Linked DNA regions of Drosophila melanogaster. The protein of the gene in region 2 purifies or fractionates together with the protein of the main gene of each other region. This does not show direct contact. Each region holds a gene or a part of one and is shown on either strand. Other genes may lie near its edges.

Region 1 (7,607 bases), on a different chromosome or scaffold from region 2:
TGACAATTTATAGATGTTTCATTATAATGGTAACGAAAAGGGGGCGTGGTGCTGCAGTGCTTCGCACATAAAGTTCAATGTTTGTGGGGGCAGATAAAAAAGAAGCTTAAAGATTCTTTTTTATTCGCTCGCTAGCAACCTTTTTGCAATGGGTCCTTTAGTGTTCTTAACATTGTTTTTTCTTTGTGTGAATTGTGATTGTTTTGTATGTATTTTTTTTATTGTTTTTACTTGCTTGACTGTGTGTAATATGTTGAAAATGTGGATTCCTAGTTCTTTCATTTTTTTTTCCTAACGCATGTCAAACATGAAAAGCAGCTTGTTTACGCTTTTCGTATACGATTCCTCCAGCTTTCAACATATGCTTCACTTATGTTCCAAGCCATTTGTTCGATATTTACAAAATAAAGCAGCTCTGACAAAACAAATTTATATTGATGACGATGCCTGCGAGTGATGTATGCAAATGGCTGTATTTAAATGGCTGTATCTTAAACATTATGCCTTTACAGCTGGCCAGTCCATTTACCTTAATCAAATTAGCTAACTTAGAGTAAACTTTTAGGACCTGAAATTAGTTTGGTAACAACCCTTTTGGGCTAAGTTAACAGGTGAGTAAGCTCAGGTATTAAATGGAGATGGCATTAACGTAGTAGACTTCACTTGCAGATGTCTTGAATGCTATTCAAAGGAATAAGTTATTTGTTCTCCAACCCAATTTATTTTATTTTCTATATTAAGAAGCTTTTAAATGTCATTGGGTTATATTACTAGAATAAAGTTTTTAAAATAGAATACAATTCGCTAGATCTTAAAAAAACGTTCCTGTTAGGGCTTTGTGGCCTAATTGTGACAATGAATACATATAATTTAAAAAATATATTTATAATCTTTAGTATGTTGTTTATTTAATGTGCCTAAATATCATGGAATTTTGAGTATCTTAATGCATAATTGACCAGCAAATATGAGTACTTAATGTTTAATGATAATGTATTTGTTAATTTGTCTTCAGAAAATACGTTCGTATGGGCTTCTTGCATTTGCAATGCCCCTATTTTAGTAACATTTTGCTCAGAATTCTGTGTGCAAAAGACAACAATGAGCAACGAGCTTTGCTTTTCAGTTTATCAGTTTTTCCCTACAATTACCATGGTTATCCTTGACAATTATTTCCGCACAGAAAACTTTCTAAATGCACTGGATCCCCTGTAATAATTGCCTAGCCCAAAAGACCCAACAAAAATACACAGCCTTGGTGGTGCCACCTTAATTGCAGGCGTCTTTCTCTAACCAAGTCAACTTTCCTCCAACCAGCACTCAGCACTCACTTATTATTAAGTTGTTTTCGAAACTAGGAAGAGGAAAAACCGGCGGGCGGAAATGGAGGAATGGAGAAAAGGAGGAGCTCTCCCGGCAAAAGTTAAATTATAAAATCGTCAAAAGTTGACGAAGACATTTTGCGCCTATGAAAACAAATACACGAGGAAAGTGCTCCACTAAAAAATAGGAGGGAAATGCGGGAGCAGGAGCCACTTAAGATGCTTAGCGCCATGGCAAGCGAAAATAATGACGCTCATAAAAACTAACTAAACACCAAAATAAAGCAAATATATATAGGTATATATATATATACATATATTTGTTGGGCTGGCTTTTTTAAGCTGGAACGACGCTCTCTGAATGACAACGATAATGATGTGCGATAATGTTTGTTGTTTCTTCGTTTGCTTATTTATTGTACTTATTCGTTTATTGTACTTTTTCATCCCACAGTGCTGGAAACAATGATAATGATAATAATGAAGATGTTATTGTGTTTCTCCTCTTTGTTGTTGTGCAATCTAAGACAACTGTCAAAGACTTTGCCAAAGGATTAGTCGACTCGGCGCCTTTCGCCCTGCTATACCCTGTAAAAGTTGCGCTAAGGATATATTACACATGGAGTAATTTGGATCAAATATGGGTTACCAATTTTTTTTTTTAATTTTTAATTTTTTTTAATATCATGTTGCATTTACGATAAAGAAATTTGCAACTGAGAGATTTTTTTTTGATTAATGACAAAAGGACATTTCAAGAAAAGCCTTTTTGAAATCGATTTAAAATTTAATTCATTTGTAAATGGTACTATAAAGAAGTTTTAAGTTAGGGATATATTAGGATATTAGGGATATTATCATATTAGGGTTTTGGAAATTGAAATATGAGGAGAAAATATATAATATAATAATATATAAGTAACATAATCTTTATAAAATTTGTTAACGTTTATAGTAGTATTTATTTTGGAAATTTTAAATCTACAACCATATAGCAATGATTTCAAACAATTCATGTAAATATTCTTCGAAATATTCATGCAAATTTGAAAGAAAGACTCCATGTAATCATCAAAAAGTAGCTTCCTACATTTTCTATAAACAACACAATAAGATACGGGGTATTCTCGCAGTCGCAACGAGTTTGTGTATCTCGTGACTGGTGTCTTTGCTCCTTGCCATTACTTTCGACCTGCTCCTATCGCAGTCGTAATTAAAATTGCACCAGACGTAGTGAAGTTTTGTACTTTCTTCGGCATCAGATAGTCCTGGAAGCCTCCCCTTCAATTTAATCGCTTTGACTGCATGCTGGTTGTAATTTATTTATTGCCGAAAATCGTACCCTCTACTCTTGATTTGCCCCTGCCGCCGCTCGTTGTATTTTTTAATTGATTAGAAACTCGAGTTTTGTTTTCTTTCTTTGCCTTCAATTGGCATCGAGCCAGGAAATTTTCAGCCTCATTGAATTTCTTTCGGTTTTTTTTCCACTCACCCTCTTGACTTTCTTTCTCGACTCGCCAATTTTAGCAAATTACTTTCTTGGCAAAACTTTTATATTTGTTGATTCATTTATTGCTAATGTCAAACGTTCGACTTGGTGAGCTGAACGACTGATATGAATCAGTGATAGCAATCAATTATGGTATCCAATTCATTTGCTTTTTTTTAAATTTAATTTAGTTTTATTTTAGCAAAGTTCATAAAAAATAAAAAATGAACAGCGAGAGCTTTGCATCCCAGTTGGCTGCGCTAACGCTTGTCAAATCGATTCAATATAGATTTTTAGTTGTAGTGTTTCCAAATCAGATTGTGTAACGTACATATAATTTTATAAAAGTTTATCAATTTTTCGGCTTATTGGTGGCAAAATTCTCAATGTGTTAACCTTTCGGCCGTACCGCGTCACTCTTCCATGCTTTTATCAATAATTCTTAAGAAGAAAATCTACAAAAAAATATACAAAGTATTTACCCCCACAAGACTACAAATGAAATAGCCCAGTTATCCGCTTTCGGCTACAAATTCTACAAGTGTAAAAAGGAAAATAAGAAGAAATATAGCAAATTCCCGCAGCAAGTGAAATAGGTGAGTGCAAGAAAGTTCTTCAAGTGTTCAGACCAAAAGCGGATATTCTAGTTGTCCTTGAGTGTGAATGGAAAGTGGGTTGGTGTGCTGTGAACTCGTCCTGTGTGCTGTGTGTGTGTGAGTGGGTGTGTGCGACACGGTGCTTGGGCTTCCACGCTGCATGACAGATTATCGCAAGGACCTTGCCGTCCTTTGAGTGTCCTCGACGGTTATTGAAATTGCTGCAATTGAGTTCGGAGTGCTCGAAGCTATTTAATTGCTGCCGCCTGCCTCCAAGAACTTGCTTTTCACCACTTCTGTCGAAGATGAGCTAACTATTTTGCTGATTTTTGGTGGATTTTAATCTTTATATCTCAGAAATATACTATCGAATATAATCATCTATACTTAATTTCAATATAAATGCTGGTAAATTTTTGAAAAGTGTATATAATATTGCTTAAAAAATGTTCAATATGTAAAACTCTTAAATGACTTATAGTTAGTTTCTAGTCCTTGTTCCATCCACTGTGTCTAATCGAAGCTTTTTGGCCATCTCTGGTTCGGGTCAATAGGAAAGGAGTAGGGAACAGAAGGAGCAGCTAAAAGTCCTCTTCTTTTTCCCGCAGGTGTTGTAAGCCAGCAACGAGTCCTGGAACTGAGCCAAAGCTGCTTTCTCTCAAGTGCTAACTAATTTCGTTGTTGTCCTTACCGCCTCTGCTCCACATCTCGGGCCCAAGGATGCTCTCTGCATCCTCGGGCTTAGCCTCATTCCCTGGCTCATCCTCATCATCGGCGTCTTCCTGCAGTTTCGTTTTTGGTGTCAGCAACATTTCTTCAACTGGTTTCGTTTGCCCTGCCAGTCAGGTTGTTGTCCTTTTTGGTCCTCTGTGTCCTTTATAGAGTTCTATGCGATTTTTCTCTTGTTTTTGATTTTTATTTTTTCATTTGCTCCTTCGTAGTGCAATCTTTTTGGCAAACTCTTGTGTGGCGCACAGTTGTTGACTCTGTTTCGGGGCCAAGCCAATTCCTTTTTGGCCTGGCCAAGTCATCTCTTGGCTTGTTTCGGCGTTTTATGCACTTGTGTGCTCCATACCTTTGGTCCACCCCTTTGCCAAATACGCTCTACACATATGATCTGGCTTCTGTTTCGAATTTTTATGGCCGTCGTCTCAGTTGTCCTTTCTTAACTTGGCCGAAAGTTGAGTTTCCTTCGTTGGGGCAAGATGTCTCATTTGGATCGTAACACTTAGCTTAATGTTTACGACGTTTGCCGTGAAAATAGTTTTCAACTGAAGTGAAATAGGAGGTTTTATAGTTTTGTTCGGGTGTATATTTTGCGAATAATAATGTTCCTCCTAATGACCACAAAAAAGGAATAAACGTTTCCTATATAGAAATTTTTTTTCTATTTCATAGAAAAAATCTTCTATTCTTCGATATGTTCAATTTCAGATCATAGCAACTCTTCATATATTTATCAGCTTTATAATTTTATGAAAAAAAGTAATATTTAAGTGAAATCTTTTTGCTTTCAAGATTTGAAATTAAATAAAGCTTTTATTAAAAGCTTTTGCGTCAAAGCTTCAACGTTGCTAATGGCAGAAGCTCTCTCAAGATCAGCTGTTTCTCAATGCCGAGCATGTGGTTGGTTTCGTTGTGAATGCCAAAAACAACAGCTGATCGCGCGGCGTGGCAGAGCGAAAAAGTAAAAATCTCTCTTCGTTTTTATCGAAATCGGCGCAGTTTCGCCTAATTTCTGCGGTGTTTTCGTGCAACACGACTGTTTGCCGATTGTAAATAGGTGTAAAACAACTTAAATGTGATTAATTTTGCAACTAAATCTGGACAAGTGAGTTGTTACGACATCGGTGCACCAAGTAAAGTTGTCTAACCCAAAATTTTCCCAGATAAAACGGCGAAAAACAAGTCAACTAAGAGAAGTTCTCTTCTTCAACGCCGATCTTCGCTCCAACATTTGCAACATTGATGGGGTTTTTTTTGTTTAAAAACATAGTTCGCAATTCTGATAAATTATTCGGAAATAAAACTCCAACTAGAGTTTCGCTATTGTCCAGATTTTGTGGCACTTCCTTGGCTGGTAAAATGGAGAAGGTTTATTTGAGAAATGCAAGTGATACCAAAGAATTGGACATTGTGTTTCGCTTTGTGAATGAGAATTTGAAAATAAACCGGGAATTCAATTTCCGTCGCCAGATGAATGAGCCCATTGATGCGATATTGGCCAGGATTCAGAGTAATATTATTGGCAGGCTTGCAAAGTCCTGCAAAAAATCAAAAATCAAACCGCCGGCAGAAATCAATGTTAAACTTCTGAGTGACAAATATGGTGAAAAATTCAATGAATTAACATTTGAGGATCTAGTCGTCACCCAAGATATCAGCAATGTAAAACTGCAGGTATTAGATACGGTCTACGATTTGGTGTTCAATCCACCGTGGATTTCATCCCTAAAATTTTTGCCCTCATGCATATTGGCAGGATTTGTAATATACCCCACCAATGTTCAGATACAATTCGGAGAACGTCAGTTCAGCAAAGCAGTTTGGTTCAAGGCCAAAAAGCCCACAGACACCGATTGGGAGGTGTGCGGAGAAGGATTTCAATATCTAGTGACTCCTGAGGATATTGGTTACCATTTGAAGTTCGTGGTGACGCCGGGTAATGCACTGGGAATGACGGGTCCTGTGGTGGAGAAGATAACCAACTCTGCAGTGCAGGAATCTCCCGGGCGTTGTCCATTCCAAGATCGCCAAAGGCACACCACGAATTCTTTGAGCGAATCGAATGAAATTCGTGTGGTGTCTTACAATTTGTTGGCCGATTTATATGCCAGTAGTGACTATGCCGGTAGCACTCTGTTCTCCTATTGCCCGGCAAAGTATCTGCAAATAGACTATAGGAAGCCACTGTTCATCAACGAGATCATCGGTTATAACTCCGATATTCTCTGTCTACAAGAAGTCGATCAGCGAATATTTGATTTTGATTTAAAGGAAATTCTAGAACAACCGCCGTATAACTATCACGGCATAATGGCCCCGAAAGGCAAATGCGCTGAGGGAGTGGCAATTTTCTTTCGGAACTCGCGCTTCGATCTCTTGGATTCTCAAATCCTGCATTTGGGGTCCAATATTCCCGCACTGCCCGTATTTGAAAGCCTTTGGAATAAGATCAAAGTTAACGCACAATTAGCAGAACGAATCTGTGAACGGTCCACCACTCTGCAAACTTGTTTGCTTAGAATAAAGGGTACCGATAACTACGTTCTGGTGGCCAACACGCATTTATATTTCCATCCGGATGCAGATCACATTCGCCTGCTGCAAATGGGATTTTCCATGCTATTCGTAGAGCAATCTATTAGCAAAGCTATAAAGGACTTTAACATAAGTAGCCACAAAAACATTGGACTAATATTTTGTGGCGATTTCAATAGCGTTCCCGAGTGTGGAATCTACAAGCTGATGACGGAGCAGCTCGCCGAAAAAACACTGGAGGACTGGCAAAGTAATGCCGAGCAGGCGGTTTCGAATGTGGAACTCGCGCAGCCTTTCAAAATGGCATCAGCCTATGGGGCACCGGAATATACCCACTACACCACCCTCTTTGCGGGTTGCTTGGACTATGTGTTCTACCAAAACGATCGCTTCGAAGTTCTAAAGGTGGTGCCACTGCCAACGGAGGAGGAGTTGAAAGCCAATACTGCGATACCATCGGCTGTTTTTCCATCCGATCATGTTGCTCTTGTAGCAGATCTCAAATTTAAGTCAGATTGATAAATTTTTGGGCTTGCATATAAGAAAAATTAAGAATATCTCGGGGATTTCTCAGCATAAATAAATGTATACGTATGCCAAATACTATGCTTAAATGTAATAATACTCATTTCTTCTTTATATACAAAACAAAATTCGTTCAACAAATCCTGGCCTATTAACAAATGCTTCTTCTCCTTTATAAACTGTGGCATATAAACAAAAAAAAAGAAACTGCGTAGATTTAAAGTAAAACACGGAAAATAAACCGAAATAAATTGCGGAATGAAGTGACAACAAATTGAGTAAATCCCTGAGTGGCTTATAGCTCGCCTGCAAGCAGCTGGCTTTCCCGGCATCTGCTCCTGTTTTCCGGCTGATTGCAGGACGCAGAGCAATTAACGTGAAAATTCGCCAAGGAAAAACGCTCCGTTGCGGAGG
Region 2 (7,711 bases):
ATATTTTAGCAGTTCGTTTTCTTTTTTAAACCACCCAGCGAGTTGGTGTCGATTAAACTGTTGTATATTTTAGTGCTCTTGTTAAGAGAGCTCAGTGGTTTTTGGGTTTTATTTTATTTAAGTCTTATTTTTAGGTGCGGCTAAGTGTGCACGGCTGCGTTAATTTGTATGGATTATTTATGGTGGCCGCTGGCAGCAAATGAGGCCACAAAGGAAGTGAAGCTGGCAAAACTCTAGTACGCGGGAAAACCCGGATGAGCTGCAAGTTTTCCGAAAGTTTGCAACCTCACAAGTGCCACATAAAATTTATGGCTCTATTTTGAAAGTTGGCAGAGCATCGACAATGTTTCAGCTCGTACACACACACTTAATATGCCTAACTGTACAAAATCAATTAACAAGAAATGGAGCCACAAGTTCGACTAGTTCGTATTGATATCAGTTTGATTTTCATCATTGACAGACGATGTTGCTAGTTCTTGTCGTGTTGCAATTTATAAGTTTTACTTATGGCAGTGAGAAGAATAACCAAACCTATTCAGAATGCGAGGCTATGACTGCAAAAGACGAGCCAAATTTTGCCATTGTTTTTCAATGTCTTGTTGCAAACTATAATTTAAATGCAACTCTATTGGATATTATGATAAAGATGGATCAATTTCAACAAATTTTAAATCAAATTTCTAACGAACAGGAATATAAACAATCACCTTTTAAAAAAATTGATGACATTTTAGAAATACCTAGTGATTTATCCGGTAAAGATTGCCAATACAGACGACAAATAATGCAAGCCATACGCAGAAAACTGGAATGGTATAATGTTATGGACGATACGGAGTCTACACTTTTCGATTACGATGATGCCATAAAGCCAGAGATTTCTGAATCAGCACCGGAAAATGCGGTTTCAAAAATCGAACTGAGAACCGATTATAAAATGGTTTTAAAAGAGATCCGTTGCCTGCTGGCAAAATCCATACGAAATACAGGTAATAAATTAAGCTTTTAACCTCTTGTTGGCCCAATTGATTGCGACAATTAAGAAGGCACAAAAGGGTGACAGGTGCGAAAATTGTTCAGAAGGTCGGCGTTACTGACTGAATTTAAATTGTAAATAAATATGTGAGCATCTCTCGCCACAATAGCACGCAATCAACAAGCCTCACACGAAACTGTACAGCAAAGGTGATTGGTACACAGCGAAAAAAAAAACAAGTTTTTTATACTAACTATAAATTGCATTAATTTTTAAGAGCTAAAAAAGATGTTTATTTTTTACAGAACCGACCGTTGATGCAATAGAAAGCAATTAATTTGAAAACTGGAATAGGTTTCCCCTTAAAATGTGACTATTTTCGTATGTATTTTGAAGTTACAACTTATAAATAAATTTATGCTAAAATATTTTCTCCGTTTATTACCTAAATATTGTACATAAATATAGCATACAGCTAGTTTAAAAATAGAATTTATTTATGTAATTTAAAACAGTGCTTGAAGAACCTGCTGTGCTGGCATAAAAAAGTATGGTCACACGTGTGCGAAGCCCCCCCCCCCCTTGGCTTTTCGCCCAGCAGTTTGGCCTCGTTTTTAAATTGAAATCTCTGCAGCCAACACTGGACATTGCCTTCATTTCCCCGCGGACAGAGAAAGGGAGAGTTGTCCCTGCATTTCTCCCGTCCTTGCGGTGCTTTAAATAATTGCTTAGAAGCCGACGAGCAGACTCAGTGGTAACAATAATAACCGCCCAAGCACTCCGACTATGATAATAATAGCAAATAGAACCTGCCGCAGATGGAAATGCCACTCGGACAGACGCCGCTCCCCTTTCTCTTACTTTTCCACATAAGCCTTTGGCTTATGACCACACCCCCCCACTGCAAATGCATTTCACTTACTCTACACACACACACACACTCGTATAGTAGAGAAAGTAAGGGCCAGTGAGAGTTTGTGTGTTTATGCTCACTTTTAATGTGCCATATAAAATAATTTAATGACCGGCCAGAGACGAGGGTGTCTCCTGGTAATGAGAAAAGCGATTGGACAAAAACGGGTGGCTGTAAATGATAATAGTGGCATATTATGATGCAGATAGTCATGACAAATGGCTACGTCGAACTTTAATTGGTAAGCGGACTTGGACTGGATCGCCATATAGAAAAGCAATTATATCTGTAATTATAAACTTATCTATTTGCCATTAAGAATGGATTACAATGTTTGAATGCCATTTGTAAAGCCATAATATCTACAAAGTATAAGTAAACAAATTTACAAAAATGACTACAAAAAAAAAGTCTTAAAAAGTACTCAATACAATTTTCATGTAAATCAACCCTTTTCCATTTTCTCTTTCTCTCCTGCTGAATTTTAAATTGTTATTTTTAAATATTTTCGTTGGGCTTTTTCTTCGAGCTTAATCTGCGGAAAATTTTCCATCGGTTGCCTTAAGTCAACCCTAATTAGGTTATTCTTGGCAATCCCTTGCTCAATCCCCTTTTAAAGCGGCCTTAAAAAACGGAATTAATTTTCCGAAATTTATATTTTTCTTTTGATTTCTTTAGATTTTTGGTTTTGCTTTCGTTCTTCGTTCCCGATTTTCGTCCTTCCACTTTACTGTCCTGGTCATTTTCTACAAAATAGTTGCGCTTTATTTCCAGGCAACTTCGTCGCTCAAGTGACAGCTGTCCTCACCTCCACTTCCGCTAGAATGTCAATAAAAATTCAATTACGTTTTCCGCCAAAGAAAAGTTGCTGCTGAAAATACGTTTTCCTTATAGCCTTCTGTTTCCATTTAAAATTGCCTCTCTTTGTCGAACGGAATTTGTTTGCCAGCCTGATCGATTTGTGATGCTGGGCCGTGGAAATGTGGAAATCAGAGACTTGGGCACTTATACTTAATGGCCTAATTATGTAACCAAACGCCCACACACAAATAGGCTGAGTAAATAATCATAATAATCAGCATTTTGGCGGGGGAAAGAAGAAACCATAAACTTCTCGGGGTTCAAATAAAAATAAATTGTGCGACTAGGCTTGGGCAATTTGGCGGAAATGGTTTTCTGCCTTGAACACATATGTTTATAAGATTTATTCTGTTTTTCTGCTTATTTTTTGTGGTTAAATAGTTGGCCAAGTTTATGCTGATGATGCCGTAGGTCGTTGTGCATTAAACCAAATTTAATGTTACCTTTTATCAGGTGGCATTAAAGAGCTCTTTCACCAAAAATATACATTTTTCTCATCCCTCAAGTAAGCATCAAACTGTTATACTGACTGTAGTGTTATACGGCAAAGGCTGCTGCATACTTACAGGCTCTTTTGCGCAAAATTTCAGTCTCCCATTGCAAGTGCTCACGTGAGGACGGAAAACATTTTGCTCATCGCTTTCGCCTCGCGCATTGGCAAGTCGCGTAAAATTCTCGTGTTAACAGGAAAAACGTCACAAATTTTTCAAAACCACCCCAAGTCCCATTACCCGCAGTGGGAAAAACCTCAAATTCCTTGGGCTATCCGTATCAATCAACGACTAAAGGCTTAGTGTCCCTTTGTGATTGTGTGTGCTTTTTGTGTGTGCACTGTGTATTTCGTTGTGCTGCCGGCTTCAATTAGCAGCTTTTCCTCATTCTGCCCGCTGCTCTTGTGTGCGTTAGATTAATGAGGCAAAAGTGTTTTGTCGTGTCGTGCGTTAAATATTTAATACAATATCAAATAAATGTTGCATAAGCCGCCTGTCATTTAGCATCTAGTGCCAAAAGCAAAAAAAAAAAGAAAACACAAAAACGTGTGTTTGTTTCGTGTGTTTACCACAAGTAATTCGGACAGCAAACGGATTCTTTTTTCACGATTCACAAGAGCACGTCGATCAAGTAAGCCTTAGCTATTAAATATCACAGAAATAAAAATGTATCCCATTTAGCACATTAAGTTACCCATTTGAACAGCTTTTATTGGACTAGTCTTCCGCTGAGATATCTTGAGAATTTGCCCATTTCCCAAACGCATTTAAAACATTTTTATTGCCCATTTTTGCTTTATGTCCCGCATTAAAACATCTCCCGCTACGTAAAGATAATTTTGATTTGATATTCGTGTAATTTTTCCATTTGTTATTTGCCCGACTTCCATTGTTGATGGTCTGGCAGGGAATTTCGATTTGCGTTTACCCTTCATTTATTTTCAGCTGGAGATGCAAATAATGGTAGAAATGCCCGCAAAAATACTTTTACAGCAACAGGACTCCGGGGCCGATTTTCATTTCAAATTGCTCACATTAAGGGGCCACCCCCCCCCCCACCGGGCATCACAATCTCCCCCCTTTTATGGCACTCACATACCCTGTATCTGTGCATATATCCCCTTATTACCCAGCGCAGAGTACGAAATTAATTGTAACCAAACGTTTTGCTGCTTGCCGCAAACTTACTTTTATACTAGTTCATTTGCCACGCCCCTATCCCCCACGGAATGGACGCACAAAGACAACTAAAAGGGTATACACGCACAGCAACACTGAGAGAAATGGGTTCTGCATCGATAGTTATAGTTTTTAAGCCAAAATGTATGCTTATATTTTCTATTGCTTAATTTAAGACTTCTTTTTAGTGACTTTGAGCCTTTACTTTAAATAACTTTAAACTTTACTTTAAATAACAAAATCGAAGTTGTGACAACAGTTTTTCCTGCGTGAGCTTATACAAACACGTGCATGTACATGTGGAGCAAGAGGTAGCTAGCATCCCAACTAAGTAAATAATGCGTAAAACAAGTCAAGCGTTTTACAAACTCACCCATTTCGCCATCCCGTTTCCCCGTTAAACAAAGGGGGTTTCCACTGCAAAACGGGGAGTTTCCCCCATTTAGAAACAGCAGAAACAGTCAATTGTAAAATTGCTGCAGCCAACAAAGCGTGGCAAGGAAGCTAAGCGAGTGGCTCAGACTGTTTCCATAGGTAGTTGTTGCCCGATGTTGATGACGGCTAGGATTGCCGGATTCCCGGCACAAGAATCTCCACCGTATGTAATTCATTATTATGCTGACTGAGGCTGGAAGGCACTGACGGTAGAAGCCAGAAGCAGGAAAAAATATTTGCGCACATGTGGCTAGAGTTTCCATCACTTCAGCGTGCTGCTGTTATTCTTGTTAAGGCTAAAATTGTCTGTCACTTTGAGACTTCCGTCATCTGCAGGATAAAAGCTGTGGGCGAAAATATGCGAGCGAAAAATGAGACTCCACATTTTGGTTGTATGCTAAATACTTCACGGTCCACGGTCCTGTTTATGCAACAAGGATGTCTTTGAAAATATCAACGTTGGTTCGCAAAAAAGGATACCTATTGTATATATCGGGCTTAGAAAAATAGGGGATTTTAATACTAAAAAGTTTTAAAAAACTTAAAACTTTCGTGACATGTGAAGATGGCTCTCATTTATCAACGCTACAAAAGTAGCTCAAAATGGCCCTTTTGAAAATATAAGGACATGAAAACGATCAAATATACCACCTGTGTCGCAGTCAAAATGTAACAACAATTGAGAACAATAAACAAATGGCACACAAAATCAAAGTTTGGTTCGCTTATCTTTGTTTGACTTCTCTTCACTTTGACCCACCAAAAAGTTTTTATTTTTTTATAATGTCCTCGAAAAATGAGCGCCATAAATCATGGGGCGTAAATATGCCACCCCCATTTATCTCGTCTAACAAAGGGAAAACTTGCACCGTAAATTTGTATAAGCAGCAATTACTTAAAAAACTCCGAACCTTGACTTGTTTAGCCAACCAATGAAAAACTCTATTGTCAACTACAATATTTTTCCACAGCTCCATTTGCAGTTATTTACATGAGCAGATCCACATTTTTGGGTGGCAGATGGGTGCTGTGCCTGATATTTTTTTTTATGCTTACTTGCGACATCGCATTTTTGCACAAGACTTCTAAACTATATTTCGGACAATATGCAACATGATATTTTTCATGCTTATTCAACAGAAAAAAAATGAGAAGAGATTGCACATACGTTCCTCACAGAATTTCAATAAAATAGAGTAGGAATTTATGTGCACGATATGTTTCCGAGATTCTATGAGCATGTAATTTGTGGGTATTTCTGTCACAGTTTATATGTACAAAAATGTGCATTGCAGTATGCAGAGATCTAATGCTTTCCTTTTTTTTATTACTCAACTCATTTTGAAACTAGCCTTTTTAAATGAAATTGCCAAGCAGTATATACTTATATTATTGAATATTGATTTATTTAATTATTATTTGAAATGAAAAGTATTTTATTCCTTCCATTTTGTAACCCCTTTTCATATCCTTGCAAATAATTTGTCTTATTATGCTCCCCACTTTCGGGCATCATCCATCTTAATCGCTTTGACTTCTTTGGGTGGTTTTTCCTCTCATTTTTCTTCTTTTCCCTTTTCTAATAAGCCTAATGGCAACGCTGTAACCATTATTTCAAAGAAAAGCGTATAAATATAATTTATTCCACATAAACTTGATTAAATGCTTCTCTTTTCCACTTTCCCCCTTGCATTAGCATACGAAAAGTGGAAATGGAAAAATCCTACTTAAGTTCTTTCCTTCTGAAAAACAGTAAACTTTCCGCACACGCAGACCACATGGAAAAAAAAAAGCCAAAAACAGAAAAGAAATAAACTCCTTTTCTGATGATGATGGCCTGGTTGAAATCCGCTTAGCGAAGGATACTTACATCCTGGCAGCTGCCACCTGCTGCTAGTCCTTCCATTTTGAACCATCTATCTATCAGGCAGTTCGTCGAAAGCCCCATTCAATCAGATATATCATCAATCATGCCCAGCATATTTCCAGCGATGCCGAAACGAATGACAACAAATATTTTTTAACCAGCACATCGTAAATGTCGCATTCAAATTGCACAGAGAAAATCGGCAAATCGATGTGAAAAATCCGCAAAATTTCAATCATTGGGTTGAATACGATTTCCACGAGAGATGAATTGCTTTTCATTTTGCTCGAAATTGGGGTTAACAAACTCATTAGATCTCTTGGCATCATTATGCAAGCAGAGATACAGGCTCACTAGGGCAGATAGTAGATACAAAAAAAAGTAGTTAGTTAGTTAACTAAAACCAGAAAATAGTAATTTATTGTATTATGAAAAACAAAAGAAAGAAAACCTTATAAGATGAAGCTATCGATTTGTAATATAATTTTAAAATGTTAGGATTTTTAAACATTCTGTTTAATTGGTATGATACACTATAGATCGATTGCTATATTTGTTAAATTATCGAATTTTTAATTTTACCAACCATTGAATAACATATTTTTTGGATTTATTTTGTCGAGTGCATAGATACGCACCCATTAAGTATGCGCCGTGTGGTTCCACTTCCGCGTATCAATGCCGCCACAATGACGCTGTAGCTGCTGCTGCTTATGCTGCTGCTCCATTTAGCGTGAAAACATTTAAGCCAACAAAAGCAGATCTCAAACGCACCCACACAAGCGCCTCAAAGTGGCATACACCATGTATAAGATATTTTTACTGAAAAAAAAGAACTGCGGTGATGGTGAAGGTCAGGCCGTTGTTACGTTTTTTGGCCTAAACCCCATGGCCTTTTGCTCGTTGTTCTTGTTGCTTCGCATGTAGTTAAATTGTTTTTGCCACTGCCATTGCCCATTGCATCCGCCCTTTCATCTTACATCTCT

Evidence for each region.
Region 1: the proteins of Rbfox1 (region 2) and bru1 purify together in Drosophila melanogaster (affinity purification with western blotting, with the first as the bait; one study listed by BioGRID). This does not show direct contact.

Annotation. Positions count from the first base shown.
Region 1 is NT_033779.5:12,202,724-12,210,330, forward strand, and holds the start of bru1 (bruno 1), read left to right. Parts: upstream 1-3,119; 5' UTR 3,120-3,407; intron 3,408-4,985; exon of another isoform or gene 4,986-5,492; coding exon of another isoform or gene 5,493-7,187; exon of another isoform or gene 7,188-7,387; intron 7,388-7,607. Other genes in the region: CG31759 (uncharacterized protein), read left to right, coding at 5,493-7,187.
Region 2 is NT_037436.4:10,478,071-10,485,781, forward strand, and holds the start of Rbfox1 (RNA-binding Fox protein 1), read left to right. Parts: upstream 1-3,341; 5' UTR 3,342-3,875; intron 3,876-7,711. Other genes in the region: CG46430 (uncharacterized protein), read left to right, coding at 467-992, 1,285-1,316.